Danio rerio: one gene and its partners. The protein of the gene in region 2 purifies or fractionates together with the protein of the main gene of each other region. This does not show direct contact. Links are inferred from orthologs where the notes say so. Each region holds a gene or a part of one and is shown on either strand. Other genes may lie near its edges. The genes, in order: fam189a2, itcha, cpsf6 and cflara.

Region 1 (3,569 bases), on a different chromosome or scaffold from region 2:
ATAAACAAAAGTTAAGGTGAAATAAAAAGCTAAATATTAAATCATGTGTCATTAAATCCAATAAACCAGACATATAAAGTTGTAACAAATAAATAAATAATTAAATTAAATAACTTCTAGACTAAAATTGGCAATTTAAGTGACAGCACAATTGTAACAGTAGGCTGTATAGTAATAAAATGAGGTTCAAATGTTTTACCTGCGAGCCAGGCGAGGAGTATAAGAGTAAAAGGTAGAGAAGTATGAAGGAGGGGGTGCAGGAGCAACAAATTCGTCAGGGTCTGGAAGATGAGTCTGCTCCTCCACTTCCTCTGGAACAGGCCTGGCCTCTTCCTGCCAAATCATTATCATCATCATCACATCAATATTAGAACTCACACAGACAACAGACGGTCATCAAACACTTCTGAACAGCTCACACTATCCCTAAACAGTGTTGTCAATCTATTTCACACACCAAGCAAGAATTAAAACCTTTTAAAAATATGGTTTGCCTCACCATGCATGGCCGTCTGGTTGAGAAGATCTGCATATACCTGAGTGCAGCAGCAACCAGACACACAGCTGTTGCCAAAGCATTCAATGCACACAATGCAAAGAGCACTTTCTGAAAGAGAGAAAACCTATTAGAGGTGATTAGGCTTAATTGAAATAGAATCAAAAATGTAAAAAAAATTAATACACAATCGTGTTTTAACTACAATGCATAGTTTTTTCAGGTTTTGTTACCTCCAAAGAGGGGGCATGGTTTAGTGGCCAGTGAATGGTTAAAGACACAAAAACATCAAGAATTATCACTAAAATCCAGGTGTAAGTCTTTAAAATATTTTAATACCTGATTCAATGATTTATGAGCAGGGTAACACTGAGTGGATTGACGAGAGTTTATCTAGAGATGATGGATATATATGGCAGTAGTGCTTTTCAGAGTCCAGATATAACAGGACTAGAGTACTAAGGCTTTAAATAGTTGCCTGGGGATGAAGACATGTACCACCATTATAGTGTGCAGCCAATATTAAATAGGGACAGTTTCTATAGGCACAAGTTTTCAGCTGCAAGCAATTTGACTGTTTGCAAAAAAAATGCAACACAACACAACAGAAACAAATACTACAGCCTTGTTTTACTATAGTCATTTTAATAACAGCTACTACAATCTCAACAAAAATGATAAGGGTTATAATCTCATGAATACATATTAAAGCAATTTAACATTATTAAAAGTACAGTACATAGGCTGAGTACTGATATTGCTTGTTTGCACTGAGTTACTGACTTTCATTTTCCAACTGTTTCTTTTTTTCTGAGGACCGAGATAAACAACGTTTTGCTGCTTTCAATTCAAATCAATTGCTGAATTAATTTTCAACATGCAACAAATGTCTCAAAAACATGGTGTTCAGACTCACATTAGTAACTTTTAAGACGGAGTAAACCACATAATATAAATTCTAAAACAAAAAAAATCTGTGCATTGCCTTCGCAGATGGTTATACTGACGTGTCAAGATTCTGCACCAAACACGACAAGGCAGAAACATTTAAATACTAGCCATTCATTTAAATACCAGCCACTGCACTTCCAATAAAATAGTAAAGATTATAATCTAATTAATAAATATTAAACCTCTTTGAAATTACCAATATGCTACTGAGTGACTGATGTTGTTGGTCATGGTTCAAACTTTTTATTTTAGAACCCAAGATCTGAGATAAACTATATGCTACTTATTTCAGTAGTATGGCAATAATAATAATATAATAGGCTATTTCAACTTACAGTACATTAGTAGCATTTAACACAGAATAAAGCCCATAATTTGTAACTGAGGTGATAATTAGCACTCTACAAATTCTCAATTCAATTTACATCAGGAAACTGGCTGGTCCACTGCAAAATGGTAATGTTTTTGTCTGCCAACCATTTGTTCATCACTTTTGCTGTGTGTTTGGGGTCATAACTGTACTGAAATGTCAACTGGTGCCCATGGTCCAATTCATCAGCATAGGAATGACGCTGTTGTTGACAGTTTTGAAGCATTTTTTAAGGTGCCATTTACTATGATAAGGTTCCCTGGTCCACTGGCTGAAAAACACCCCCCAAAACATTATAACACTATCATGTTATACCAGGCACTTCATGCTTCCTGTTGCTAACAAACTTTATGGCGCTTTTAATTTTCCAACAGGACTTGGCACCTGCACACAGTGCCAAAACTACCATAATCTGGTTTAAGCACCATGATATCCCTGTTCTTAATTACCCCTGTCTATACTCACCTGACCTTAACTCTATAGAAAATCTACAGTATGTGCTATTGTGAAGAGAAAAATGTGATATGCCAAATCCAACAATTCATAAGAGCTGAAGGCCACTATCATAGAAACATGGCTCTCAAAACACCTGAGCAGTGCCACAGACTGAATGACTTCATGCCACGCTGCATTACTGCAGTATTTCAGGCAAAAGGAGCCCCAACTAAGTATTGAGTGCTGTGCATGCTCATACTTTTTATGGTTATACTAAAAATACTTTATTGCATTGAGCTTATGTAATCAAATTTTCAGAAATATTGAATTTTATGGTGTTATTAGTTCTCATCTGTGTTTCTTTGCTTATACAACTATATATGTTTTATATTCATTTATTTATTGTCAAAATTAATTTGCACATACTTTGAGCAGGATTCTCATTGTGCCACATGCATGACCTGCGTAGATCTTTATCAGCTTCTCCTCTTGGCACTGAGCACTTGGAGTCTCTGAACAACAGTAACAGAGATCGCCCTGCTCACTCTGAAACACACAAACACATGTATTACATTAATATCTCTGTGTTATCTCATGACAATATCTATTAATACTTTAGTATTAAATGGGCGGAGCACTGGCGCAGTAGGTAGTGCTGTCGCCTCACAGCAAGAAGGTCGCTGGGTCGCTGGTTCGAACCTTGGCTCAGTTGGCTTCTGGTTTCTGTGTGGAGTTTGCATGTTCTCCCTGCCTTCGCGTGGGTTTCCTCCGGGTGCTCCGGTTTCCCCCACAGTCCAAAGACATGCGGTAAAGGTGAATTGGGTAGGCTAAATTGTGTGTGTGTTTGGATGTTTCCAAGAGATGGGTTGCAGCTGGTGTGTGTGTGTGTGTGTGTGTGTGTGTGTGTGTGTGTGTGTGTGTGTGTGTGTGTGTGTGTATGTATGTGTGTGTGTGGATGTTTCCCAGAGATGGGTTGCAGCTGGAAGGGCATCCGCTGCGTTAAAACGTGCTGGATAAGTTGGCGGTTCATTCTGCTGTGGCGACCCCAGATTAATAAAGGGACAAAGCCGACAACAGAAAGTATGAATTATTATAAAATTAAAGTTTTCAGGTACAATATGCAATAACAACACAAAGATACGAAGTCACTGATGTAACAAACAGAGGGAGATCAGACACAATTAATAGTTACATTTAAAAAATAATTCCAAAGTATCACTTTTTTAGAACTCCAACAGACTGGCCACACCAGTAGCAGTTGAATCTCTTACTGAACTGAATCTTGAAATACCTAACTTATGTGTGCTTCTAAATGAG
Region 2 (3,569 bases):
CACAGCATTAATGTGCATGTGTGCATATGTCAACTCAGTGCATCCCTTCCCATCAATGATGTTATGTACCTGGCCACGCCTCCATAGTCAAGCCCCTCCTCCCCTGGGAAAATGATCCACAATCTTCGCCTCAGGTCTTGTGGATGGCAACCCATAATCTAAATAAATCAATTTTTAAAAATGTATAATTTATTTCTGCACATCGCATGTAATGAGACCCTTAAACTTTAAATATGTGTAAATAAATCATCATTTACCTGCTGAAATGAGTCCTCAAACAGCGTTTTGCGACTCACATGGATTTTGATGTGTTGAGGCATTGATAATTGCTGTGGTGTTAAAATACATGTTTTAATTAATAAATAAATATTTACATTTGCAAATAATTTTTTTAATTAGTTTTGGAACTATGTCCATAAGCTCTTAAATTAAAAAATGTTTTAATATTTATTTCAGATAAATTAAATGTATATATTTTTTTTTACAAAAAATGGGTTATATCATACATATATTAGTATTATTATTATTATAAAATATGAAGTATATATAATAATATTTTTATATTATTAATATAAAAACAAAAACAATAATATAACATAAAAAATAAATAAATCATAGTAAGCATTTATAGATTTATATCAGTAATTAAATATTCATTATCATTTTTATATGATAAATAACTTTAAAAAAAGCCTAAAAATATATTATTTTATTCTGCCAATTAATAAATTTTTTTTAAAAGAATCACAAAAATGACCTTCTTCAATATATTAAAATAGGTTTTAAACATTGACTTGTGAAATAAAACAAAGGTTTGGACACTTATTATTATATAATAAACTGTATAATTAATAATCATATTTTTGTTAATTACAACAGCATAAAGATAAATAAACAAATAAATAATACTATGCAATAATATACACTACCGGTCAAAGGTTTGAGGTCAGTTTTTATTTTAAAGAACATTATTTTGCTCATCAAGGTGTCCCTTATTAAATGTAAAAAATAATAATTAATTGTTAATTACTTATTTATAAAATATTTATTTATAACTTATTACATGTTGTTTTTAAAGGAAATTATTACTCCAGTCATTATTTTTTATTACTATTACCGATAATAATAATAATAATAATAATATACATTATACATAATAAAATAACAACAATGATAATTAATATTAGAGTGATTTATGAAGGATCGTGTGACTCTGAAGACTGGAGTAATGAAGCTGAAAATTCATCATTAAAATCCCTAGAATAAATTATTAAATGAAATGAAAAACTACTTTTGAAAAGTTATTTTATAGTGCAATAACATTTCACAATTTTACAATTTGTACTGTATTTTTGATTAAATAAATGCAGCTTTGGTGAGCAGGAGAAGCTTATTTTAAAACATTTTAAAACCCTACTGACCCCAACCTTTGACCGGTAGTGTATGTATATTAGTCATTATTAAATGTTAATTATCATTTTTATATGATAAATAACTTGCAAAAACTCACAACTTCTTTTGGAAGCAGACTGCACTGTCCCCCAATAATTTACAATAAAATGACTTAATTCAAGATTTTAAATTAAAGTTTTAAGCATCGACTTCTTAAATGAAACATCAGAGATTTGAAGACATCAGGAGATATTAAAACAGCTTTATAAAAAATCATTTTAAATTAGTATAACTCCTCCATGAGGTCTTACCTGACACCAGAAGCGGAAATAGTGCACTTTGGCTTTAAAATCTCGTACGTATGTGATCTGAGGGCCGTTCTCACTGCAGGTCCACAAAGACACAAACAGACAGATGGTAAAACACCACACACAACCTCACTGCAATGCATCAGCACTGATTAAAAACAAAACAAAACAACATTGAACTTAATTTGTACACTGAAACAGGAGCGTCACTGTGTAAAATCAACATGCTGAAGGTTTTAAAAATAAAAAAGTTTTTCTTATAATAATATAAGAACTCACAGCGAGGATTTTCCTGTACGGGGGTCTATGTATGTTGTAGTTCTTCTGTTGTGATCCACAAAATAGGGAATCCCATCCACTGTAAACCTCATTTCCCAACCTTCCGGCAAAGGCTTCTCATTTAGCAACCTGACAAATTAAAACAATTAATTACAACAAATATAATGCTTATTGCCTGCTTGTAAAAAAATATAAAATAAATAACAAATAAATAACAATAATAATAATATACAGAAAGGAGGAAATTTGGTTAATAATAATAATAATAATAATAATAATAATAATAATAATAATAATTATAAAACAGAAATTAGGTAATTTAGTTGCAAAAAATGTATAATAAAAAATAATAATAATAAAAATTATGATAATAATAATAATAATAATAATAAAAATGATATTAATAATAATAATAATAATAATAATACTAATAATATAAAAAGATAAGGAATAAAAAATATTTTAAAAAACTTGATTAATTCAATATAAAACTTACAAATGCTGCCATGGCAACTAAATGAAATTTAAACATAAAAAATAAAATAATTTAAATTGCAATAAAACATAATACATTGTCTGTATTAAATATAATTAATATCTAAAAAAATGCAGCAAAAATACTAAATATCTCACAATTTCAATCAATTAAATACTGAAAATATAAAAAAAGCTTAATATAATATTAATATGAATGAAAATTAAAATAATAGTACATTGAAATGAACATAAGCTTACAAATTTATAAGCAAGCACAGAATATTAATAAAAAACTTTAATAGCAATAAAACAATAAAAAAACAATACTATTTCAACTATTAACAAAAAAAATGACAAAAGCATGCAACAAAACGGCTAAAAATTGAACTAAAAATAAAAAAACATTGTAAATATTTATAGAATTGCAACAGTATATAAATATTAAATAGTACTGTATAAATATATTGCGTGCAGCTCATAATGATCCCACCCTTGTGTGCGAGGGTCTTCCCATTGTGTGGATCTTGTAGGATGGTGAACAAAATACATCCTCCTATTACTGTCGGTACGTTTCTCTGTGAGCGAAACAAACAAACACACACACACACACACACACACACACACACACACACACACACACACACACACACACACACACACACACACACACACACACACACACACACACACACACACACACACACACACACACACTTAATTGTTTTTGAGTGACTAATCCTGATTAAAATAACACGGCATCCAAATAATCACAAATGATTGAATCACACATTATGTTTCAGTGTATAAAGAATGTGCAAATAGATAACGTCCCAAAATAAACACACACAGAGAAAAAAAAAGCCAGTATGAGCTGCTCTATTTTAAGGTTGAAATGAAATTTCCTCTTTCTGCAGCACAAAACAGACTCACCCCATCCTGACGGCAGCGGTCCCAGAGGGTCAAACTCTTTATTAGCTGTCGGCGCGAGCTGTTCCTGCAGCTGAAGACATGAGCAGAAGGAAAGAACAAGAGCAGATGAAATACCCTCAGCTAAGGTCACAGAGGTGATTCTTTTTATTAAAAATCATCTAAGGAAAAAACTCAACATCTGAC
Region 3 (3,569 bases), on a different chromosome or scaffold from region 2:
ATCCTTAAAACTAACATCTAATGTTAATTTTGATTTCACGGGGACTTTAAACTTACTGAATGAGAATAGCGTTGCTGTATGTGTGCTGCAGTTTAGAAGAGTGTGTTTTGGTCCACGCAGGCACACAGTCAGGACAGATGTCAGGAGAGGGGAAGGCTGGTCCTCCAGGCTCAGGATCTCGAGGTGGAGGATTCCCTCCTGGCAAAGGTCAGAGACGCTTTCCTGGCCCACCTGGACAAGGAGACCGCTTCCCTGGACCGGTTGGACCTGGCGGTCCTCCACCACACTTCCCAGGTATAAGCTTGAACAGGAGTGAACTTTTGAATTGTCAGTATATACATCAGAACTAACAGCTATTATTATAGGTCTGCAATGGGAGGAAACAAATAGGACTGTAATTTGTTCTATCAGTTGTTGGATCTATAACAACTGATAGAGAAGATTTAATAATGCAAGTTTCTACAACATTATACAGACTTAAAGTAGAGGGTAAAAATGTACATTTTTGTTGTGGACCGGCACATATTGGAATAATGGGAAATAAAATTGGCAGATAAATTGGCAAAAAGAATCATTGAAGAAAAATCAAGTAGATGTTAAAGTACCTTTGGGAAGGAATGAAATGAGATCAGTAATTAATAAGGAAATAACAAATATTTGGCAACAATATTTGGTCTGAAAACTGATGCTCTGAGGTGAATGGGTCACTTTTCAAGTGAATCAGAAAAAGTTGATCAATTGTCCTAAATCAAGAATGGGTGATGTTTAATGTTCACCACAAAACTAGCAGTGTGAGCTCCCAAAATCATACGGTTAGTTTTGATTTCATGTGTATTTTTGTAATCCCTTCTCCTCTCTGCTTCAAAATGTAATGCATCAAATCTTCTTGCAGGTATGCAGGGCCCACCACGTCTTCCCTCTGGCCCACCTGGGCCCCTGGGACCTCCAGGCCCCCCTCCACCTGGACAAGGTCTGCCTCCTCCCCTCGGCGGACCCCCTAACAGAGGAGACCGTCCTCCTCCACCTGTCTTGTTTCCTGGTCAGTTCGGGCAACCCCCAATGGGCCCGATGCCTCCTGGGCCTCCCCCACCAGGATACGGGCCTCCCCCAGGCCCCCCTCCACCTCAGCAGGGACCACCCCCTCCAGGACCCTTCCCTCCCCGTCCACCTGGGCCCTTAGGACCCCCGCTTGGCCTCGCACCCCCACCACACATGCAGGGACCCCCACCTGGAGGCCCACCGCCGGCTCCTCACGTCAACCCGGCCTTCTTCCCACCACCTGGAAACAACATGCCATCATCTGACGGCAGAGGACCCCCACCTGGAGACCCGTACGGCCGCCCACCTCCTTATGACAGAGACTTCCCTGGTGGCAGGTAATAAACACATCGCCCACAACTACACCTATACTCTAAAAAGCCCGAAGTGTATGTGCACAGTTAAATGAACAGTCTTACTATAGTATGCTGTGATGGCATGCTCACTACAACAGATAACACTGCAAATATGCATTCAATTGTTTTTCATTGGAAGCACATTTAGATGTAATTTAATCATTTCACATTACATTTTAATATTGACAGCCATAACTTGATAACATTTTATAAATATTAAAAAATAAGTGAAGTTTCACAAACTAATTTCTAGAAGAGCACGTGATATGATCAACTAGAGCTGATCCTCATCACTGATCATTAGCTAGCCTATCAGATCATTCCAAAACTACTATGAATATCCTGCCTAAACTCCGTTCCCTGTCTTCGTTTTTGGCAAACCCCCTTCTATCCTTCCCTTCTCCTTCCTCGTTAATTATATGATAGGGCAACAGGGTGGCTCAATGGCTGGCGCTGCTGCCTCGCAGTGGGAGGGCCAAAGGTTCAAGTTCTAATTGAGCCAGTCGTTACTCTCTGCCATGAGTTTGCATGTTCACCCTGTGTTCCCGTATGTTTTCCTCGGGTACTCCGGTTTCCTCCAACAGTCTTAAAACATGTACATAAGCGAACTGTAAAGTCATAAGCACTTAACGCATACATACTGAATCAGTCAGAACCACCATATTAACCATAGTATAAAACAAACGAGAGGGCTCTCGAAGAATACCCGATCTCCTATCCAAACTAATGCTCATTGACCAAACGGGAACCTTGTGCTCTTCGATTTGAGATTCAGGTTCTCTCCTGGGACAGCATGCCAAACCTGCTATCATAGTTAAGCATTGTCTAAGTGTGAACTCCTAAATGTATTTATATATTGTTACGTGTTAATGATGTTAAATAATTAAAAGGATGATACGTAACAATCAGTGAGTCCATTGATGCTGGGTGAATAAGGAGAAGACACAAACGCTTGATAAGTGAAACAAAAAGTAAGTATTTATTAATGGATAATGTCAAACAATGAATATGAGATGGAAGATAAATGTAATTTTAAATAATTGAATTAAATAAAGAAAAATAGGAGTGTTGCCAAAACAAAGAAATAAATATAACAAAACGATCTAACTAAACCCCAACCCACTAAACTGACTGATCAAAGAAAAATGCAGAAACAAAACAGTAATCTTCAGCACGTAGCTTAACTAAACTTCATAACTCCCAAACATAATTACACATGAGGCAACGCCTCCAAAAACGAACTAATACAAAGTTATACTAAGCTGCTCGAAATACTAGAATTCTTGTAAAGTACAGACTGTTAGCCATTAGCAAAACAAGATCTCAGGTAATCCAATTCTCATAAAGATCGTTCATATTCTCACTATACATTAACCTGAGCAGCACAAGTTTAACTGATAAATCCATATCAACAAAGAGAAAACTAGAACACAGCACTCGCAAACAAACCAAGCGGAACAAACAAGTCAACAGTTTGAGAGATTGACAGGCCAAGCGCTCCTCCAGAACAGCGCAAGCGCACCGGTTTTATACTGCGCGGACCCAATCCTTATTAGCGCCGATTGAGTGACGAAGGTGAATGACAGCTCACTCGACCAATGGTAGCACACCTGAAACAGGATAGGACCACTGCGAGAGAGAGAGAGAGAGAGAGAGAGAAGAGCGCAAAGCAGAAAACAACAAAAATACCACAAAACATACGTGAAACGTAACTATTTTTTTAAACCTGTCTATCTTGCATTTGGATGGTATTTCCTTTTATTTTGGTGTCGCTTTAGTTTTTAGTTGCTGAAATGTCTGTGCCTCACTTTGATTTAACATGTGATGCAATGTGATTCAGCACTAACGACCACTGCAGCTCTTTGTGTGAATTCGATCCCTGAAGCATTACGCTTCGCTCTGACTCGTGCTTTTAGTTTGCGCGTGTTCATTAATCAGCATTTTGTGTGCTTCAGGGACATGGATGCGTCTCGCACTCCCCTGAGCGAAGCTGAGTTTGAGGAGATCATGAACCGGAACAGAGCGATTTCCAGCAGCGCTATTTCAAGGGCCGTTTCTGATGCCAGTGCAGGTGTGGAGATCATTACACCCAGCACAAATATGAGGTGTGGTGTGTTGTGAATTAACCGTTTCCGTTTCTGCAGCTGATTACGGCAGTGCTATAGAGACTCTGGT
Region 4 (4,316 bases), on a different chromosome or scaffold from region 2:
AGCTTTCCAACATTTTTCAAAATAAAGTTTGGGTTCAACAGAAAAAGGAACCTCAATTAGTTTTGTGAAATGTGAAGTGTGAGTAAATAATGACAGAATTTTGTTTGAACTATCCCTTTACACCCGCTTTACACATACTGTACATACCTACATATTAACTCACCATGATTGAAGCACTGTGATTGTCTCACTTGCTTTTCAAAAGGCTGACACTGCATAGGGGTGAACTGAAATTTTAAAAAGTAGAAAAACAAAGAGTTTAAAAATATGCTTTATATACTTTTCATATACTGTATCAATATATTTGTTTAAATGTCTTACCTTAAAGGTATTTGGAGCGGCACATGGCATGTTCTGACCTAAATAATTTTTATTTAGTAAATTTAATCACGTAATTGCTTTATTTGATATATATTAGTAAATAAAATAACTGAGTCTAGTTGCCAAATTAAGAGCTTTGTGGTGCGTTATAGAAATGCATGTTTTTTTTTTGCAGAAGATTTTCTCTTTTACTTTCTTTCAAAAGGGACTGACCTCTATTCCTGTACGCCTGAATTTTTTTGACAAGGTCATTTCTGCGAATATTTTTAAGACACTTTTCAAGAAAGTCCAGCTTCTCACAAGATACTTCATTTAATTTCTCCAACTCCACCACCACATCTAGAAAGCTCTATTGGAAATCAATTGAAACCAAAATGAAATAGCACACACATTTCTAGAAAAATAGCATATTCATGTTCAGTTTTACCTAAATATTCTGCAGAATAAATATTAATTTGAACAGACAGAAATATTCAGTAAGGTCTTACAGTAGCTCTAGTTGATCTTTCTTTGGGCAGGATACTGCTTAGGAGGAAGATAAGAGATTGTAAATCCTCTTTATCCAAGTTTTCACTCACATCTGCCATTAGAACCCTGTATAAAAGTAATCAATTCAATAATCGTACTGCAAAAGAGAGTGTAAATAACACACATGGGTATTTCTACATGGGTATTTCTAATGAAACTGCTCTAATGACCTAAAAAAACAAACAAATGTCAAGCTCTAAAATAGTTCTTCTTTACTAAAATTGTATTTTTCCACCACATGGGTCATGGGTTAGGAAATATCTGAAATGTGTTCATTTGAAGAATAAATTACCTGTAATCTGAGATGACGCGCTCCTTTCTGAGAATTCCTTCTACCTGTTGTTTGTTGGTGCCAAAAACTTTGCGTAGTAAATCATAGCGCTTCATTTGAAACATGAGCTCCATCAGCAGAGCATTTCCAGAATGAGGTTGACCTGCTTGATTGGGGTTCTGTTGGGCAAAGGCCAGCAAATCTCCTCTCAGTTCTTCCACACAACTGTTGTTGAACAAATCAGTGCAAAGATACAGCAGGATCTTAGACTCGTCGCTGCTAAGAGATGCGGTCACTTTGTTAACCAGAGTAGAAAATCCATCTGCCATTTCACCGTATGGTGTTGTATAAATACTTTAGGTAATAGTTTGGGTCATTTTAAAAGCAGAATTGAATTTTCTATGCATTTTTAAAATCTAATTAAGTTAGTCTAGAAAAAGGGCTGTATTTTCTTTTTCTTTTCTTTTTCTTTTTTTTTTGCAATCAATGAATGAAAATTGCATTTATCTTGACAGAATGGAAGAATGTAGCCACTTTGGATTTACACCTGTAAAAGACAAACAGAACACCCAATTTAGCAAAAAAATAAAAAAATAAATAAAAAAAAACATCAACAAATGAAAGATACCTGTAAAAGGCTGAATTACCTTCAGTGACCTTAATTTGGAGCACCAAATTCTTTGGTGGTTTTGCCAGCAGCGAGCTTCATCTTTTGCTGACACTAAGTTAAAAAAAATTTTTAAAAAAAGAGGAGGAGAAAGGGGACTCATCACTAGATGGATGTAAATCTAAATGAAACCATAATGATGGAAAGTACCTAGACATCCACAACAGATTTTGTGGGGGGCATTTTACCACGGTGGTATTTTTTGATATTCTTTAAAATACATTACATTTGATGTTTTCAAACATCCTTGTCAGTGTGCTTAAGCAAGGGGATTTCCGAAATCAACCATGGAATTTGTATAGCGTCACTACACAAGCGTTTATCTACTAACTAGCCTATTTCACAGCGTTTATCTACTAACAACGCCTTTTCATTGTTTTTGGCATAACTTTTGAATTCCGAAGAACCACTTCGGTCGTAAAAGATTAATCGATTCTTTAATGTCTTTATTGTGAAAACATTCGACTCGAGCTGATTCAAAAAGTTGAATGTATGAATAACTAAGTCTCCCGACAATACTAACTTACACCTGTTCCTAAAGCCTACGTGGACAGAGATACAGGCGGAGCAGATAATTAAAGGTCACAACAGCAATACAAAACGATACAATACGCGTATTCTAAAACAACTACTACGTTTCACCGTCGACTGACTTGAACTGCCTTTGTTTACATGTTGTTCACAACGTCTTCCGTTCAGTAGTTAGGACTCTTCAACTTACAGCCGAATTTGTCCGGTAAAATTGTACTTATAGTAGGTTACGTAGGCCATTTATAGAACTTGTTAACGTTAAGTGTTTATCGACTAACTTGTATGAAGCTATAACAAAAAATCTTACTAAAAGTAAGCTATTTGATCAGAGAGAATGTATTTAAATGATATTTTTACCTTTTACGTCGTACGTCGCCATCGTGACAAACTGAAGCAAAAGCGAAAGCAAAGTTACCAAAGCCTTTGAGTTACGCGAAGTCACGCCCTGTTCCGGTCGATCGAGACAAGTAGTGGTGCTCACTGCAGAGCCATTTAGGCAGAGCTGAGCTCCAGCGAGGGGGAGCTTGAGCTCTCGTTCCTCCTTTCATGCACTTCTACGAGTGATGTCACTGGGGTAGGGTTAGGGGTGGGGTTGGTGCACGCATTAAAACGAGAGGGTGCTCGCTGCAGAGCCATTTGAGCAGAGCTGAGCTCCAGAGAGGGGGAGCATGAGCTCTAGCTCTGCCTCCTGAAAGCTGTTTTAATGCGTACACCAGGATTAAAACAGCTTATAGGAGGAGGAGCGAGAGCTCATGCTCCCCCTCTATCGAGACAAGCTGTACTGATATCAGCCCTCATGGATGATCAGTCATTATTCATCAAACAAAGTCAGTATAGCAGATACTCGTTGCTGGCTTTGCTGAAACATTTTTCAGAGATATATCAACGATCTAAATTGGGCAGGTTTAATTTATATAATGGATTCACTATAATGAAGGAAATATGGCAAGATTATATGTGTAGGCTATAATACATCTTTATATGTAATACAAATCTTTTTACATTTAATAAATGTCTAACACTATATTATTATTTTACTCCAGCGATAAGTATTTATTTGCTCAATTTTCTAACTTTTTTTATTAATGATTTCCCACATGAAGTACTATAGTGATTTAAAGTAAGTAATATATTTGTTTTTATGTTTTTATATAGATTTGTTAAACCATAAAGTACTGGTCATTTGTGATAATTATAGTTGCAACAAAATAGTAATACAAACAAATTGACTGATAATAATAATTATATATTTAAATATATTTATTATATATATAATATATATAACTAAAAGTTGCTGCAGTTTAGTAAAAGATGAAGTAGTTATTTTAAATTATCAACTATAGTAATTCATTTTAATGTGACACAATGTTTGTTTTGTATATTTTACTATAAAACGATTCTAACTAAGTATAACAACATTAAGATCCTGAATTAGTTTATTACACTCAATCCTATGATTAGATGGTCTGTTATGCTTTCTTAGTGTATGTGGATATGTAAATAAAGTCATGTGTCTAACCAACTATTTTTATTTACATAATTTGAGTTCCAAAACTGCACAGATCAGATGTTAAAGTGATCGTTACGATTTAGCTGATTCTATTGGAGATTTTTTTTTTCACTTATGCAGTTTTGTTATGCAACTACGGCTAATTTGCTAACAGACTTGTTGAAAAGAATAAAAACAGATTTTTTCCACCTTTCACATTTTTCATTTGTGGACTCTAATGCTGAAATAAATGCATAGGCTGCTGCAAAATAATATTTTGCTGATTTGCTCATTTTATTGTAATTTTCACGCCAAGTATAAGACATTTAGTGAATTTACTCACTGAACAAATATGAACAACATCTAAGGTAAGCAGTGTCTGGGCAAACAAGCAATGCTCAAGAGAAAACAAGAAAGTTTTAGTACATTTCATAGATGAAAAGATACAGATAACTATAAGAACTTACTATTTAATTTTGGTCTTATTTTATAGTACTTGCTTCATACTT

The links.
Region 1: the proteins of itcha (region 2) and fam189a2 purify together in Homo sapiens (co-immunoprecipitation; 3 studies listed by BioGRID and IntAct, counting the BioPlex papers as one, with this or other methods). This does not show direct contact. The link is inferred for Danio rerio from reciprocal best matches to the Homo sapiens genes ITCH and ENTREP1.
Region 3: the proteins of itcha (region 2) and cpsf6 purify together in Homo sapiens (affinity purification with mass spectrometry; 5 studies listed by BioGRID and IntAct, with this or other methods). This does not show direct contact. The link is inferred for Danio rerio from reciprocal best matches to the Homo sapiens genes ITCH and CPSF6.
Region 4: the proteins of itcha (region 2) and cflara purify together in Homo sapiens (affinity purification with western blotting; 8 studies listed by BioGRID). This does not show direct contact. The link is inferred for Danio rerio from reciprocal best matches to the Homo sapiens genes ITCH and CFLAR.

The regions. Positions count from the first base shown.
Region 1 is NC_133180.1:56,884,891-56,888,459, forward strand, and holds part of fam189a2 (endosomal transmembrane epsin interactor 1), read right to left. Parts: intron 2,799-3,569; coding exon 2,679-2,798; intron 608-2,678; coding exon 500-607; intron 334-499; coding exon 200-333; intron 1-199. UniProt on the Homo sapiens protein: Functions as an activator of the E3 ubiquitin protein ligase ITCH in the ubiquitination of the CXCL12-activated CXCR4 receptor. Thereby, triggers CXCR4 endocytosis and desensitization, negatively regulating the CXCL12/CXCR4 signaling pathway.
Region 2 is NC_133181.1:60,215,140-60,218,708, forward strand, and holds part of itcha (itchy E3 ubiquitin protein ligase a), read right to left. Parts: intron 3,457-3,569; coding exon 3,387-3,456; intron 3,032-3,386; coding exon 2,947-3,031; intron 2,109-2,946; coding exon 1,980-2,108; intron 1,777-1,979; coding exon 1,704-1,776; intron 330-1,703; coding exon 258-329; intron 159-257; coding exon 70-158; intron 1-69. UniProt on the Homo sapiens protein: Acts as an Acts as an E3 ubiquitin-protein ligase which accepts ubiquitin from an E2 ubiquitin-conjugating enzyme in the form of a thioester and then directly transfers the ubiquitin to targeted substrates.
Region 3 is NC_133179.1:2,380,917-2,384,485, reverse strand, and holds part of cpsf6 (cleavage and polyadenylation specificity factor subunit 6), read left to right. Parts: intron 1-120; coding exon 121-294; intron 295-892; coding exon 893-1,376; intron 1,377-3,349; coding exon 3,350-3,465; intron 3,466-3,538; coding exon 3,539-3,569. UniProt on the Homo sapiens protein: Component of the cleavage factor Im (CFIm) complex that functions as an activator of the pre-mRNA 3'-end cleavage and polyadenylation processing required for the maturation of pre-mRNA into functional mRNAs.
Region 4 is NC_133186.1:32,574,720-32,579,035, forward strand, and holds the start of cflara (CASP8 and FADD-like apoptosis regulator a), read right to left. Parts: upstream 2,836-4,316; 5' UTR 2,676-2,835; intron 1,842-2,675; 5' UTR 1,768-1,841; exon of another isoform or gene 1,749-1,767; intron 1,668-1,748; 5' UTR 1,450-1,667; coding exon 1,142-1,449; intron 916-1,141; coding exon 810-915; intron 671-809; coding exon 535-670; intron 360-534; coding exon 322-359; intron 228-321; coding exon 164-227; intron 1-163. UniProt on the Homo sapiens protein: Apoptosis regulator protein which may function as a crucial link between cell survival and cell death pathways in mammalian cells. Acts as an inhibitor of TNFRSF6 mediated apoptosis.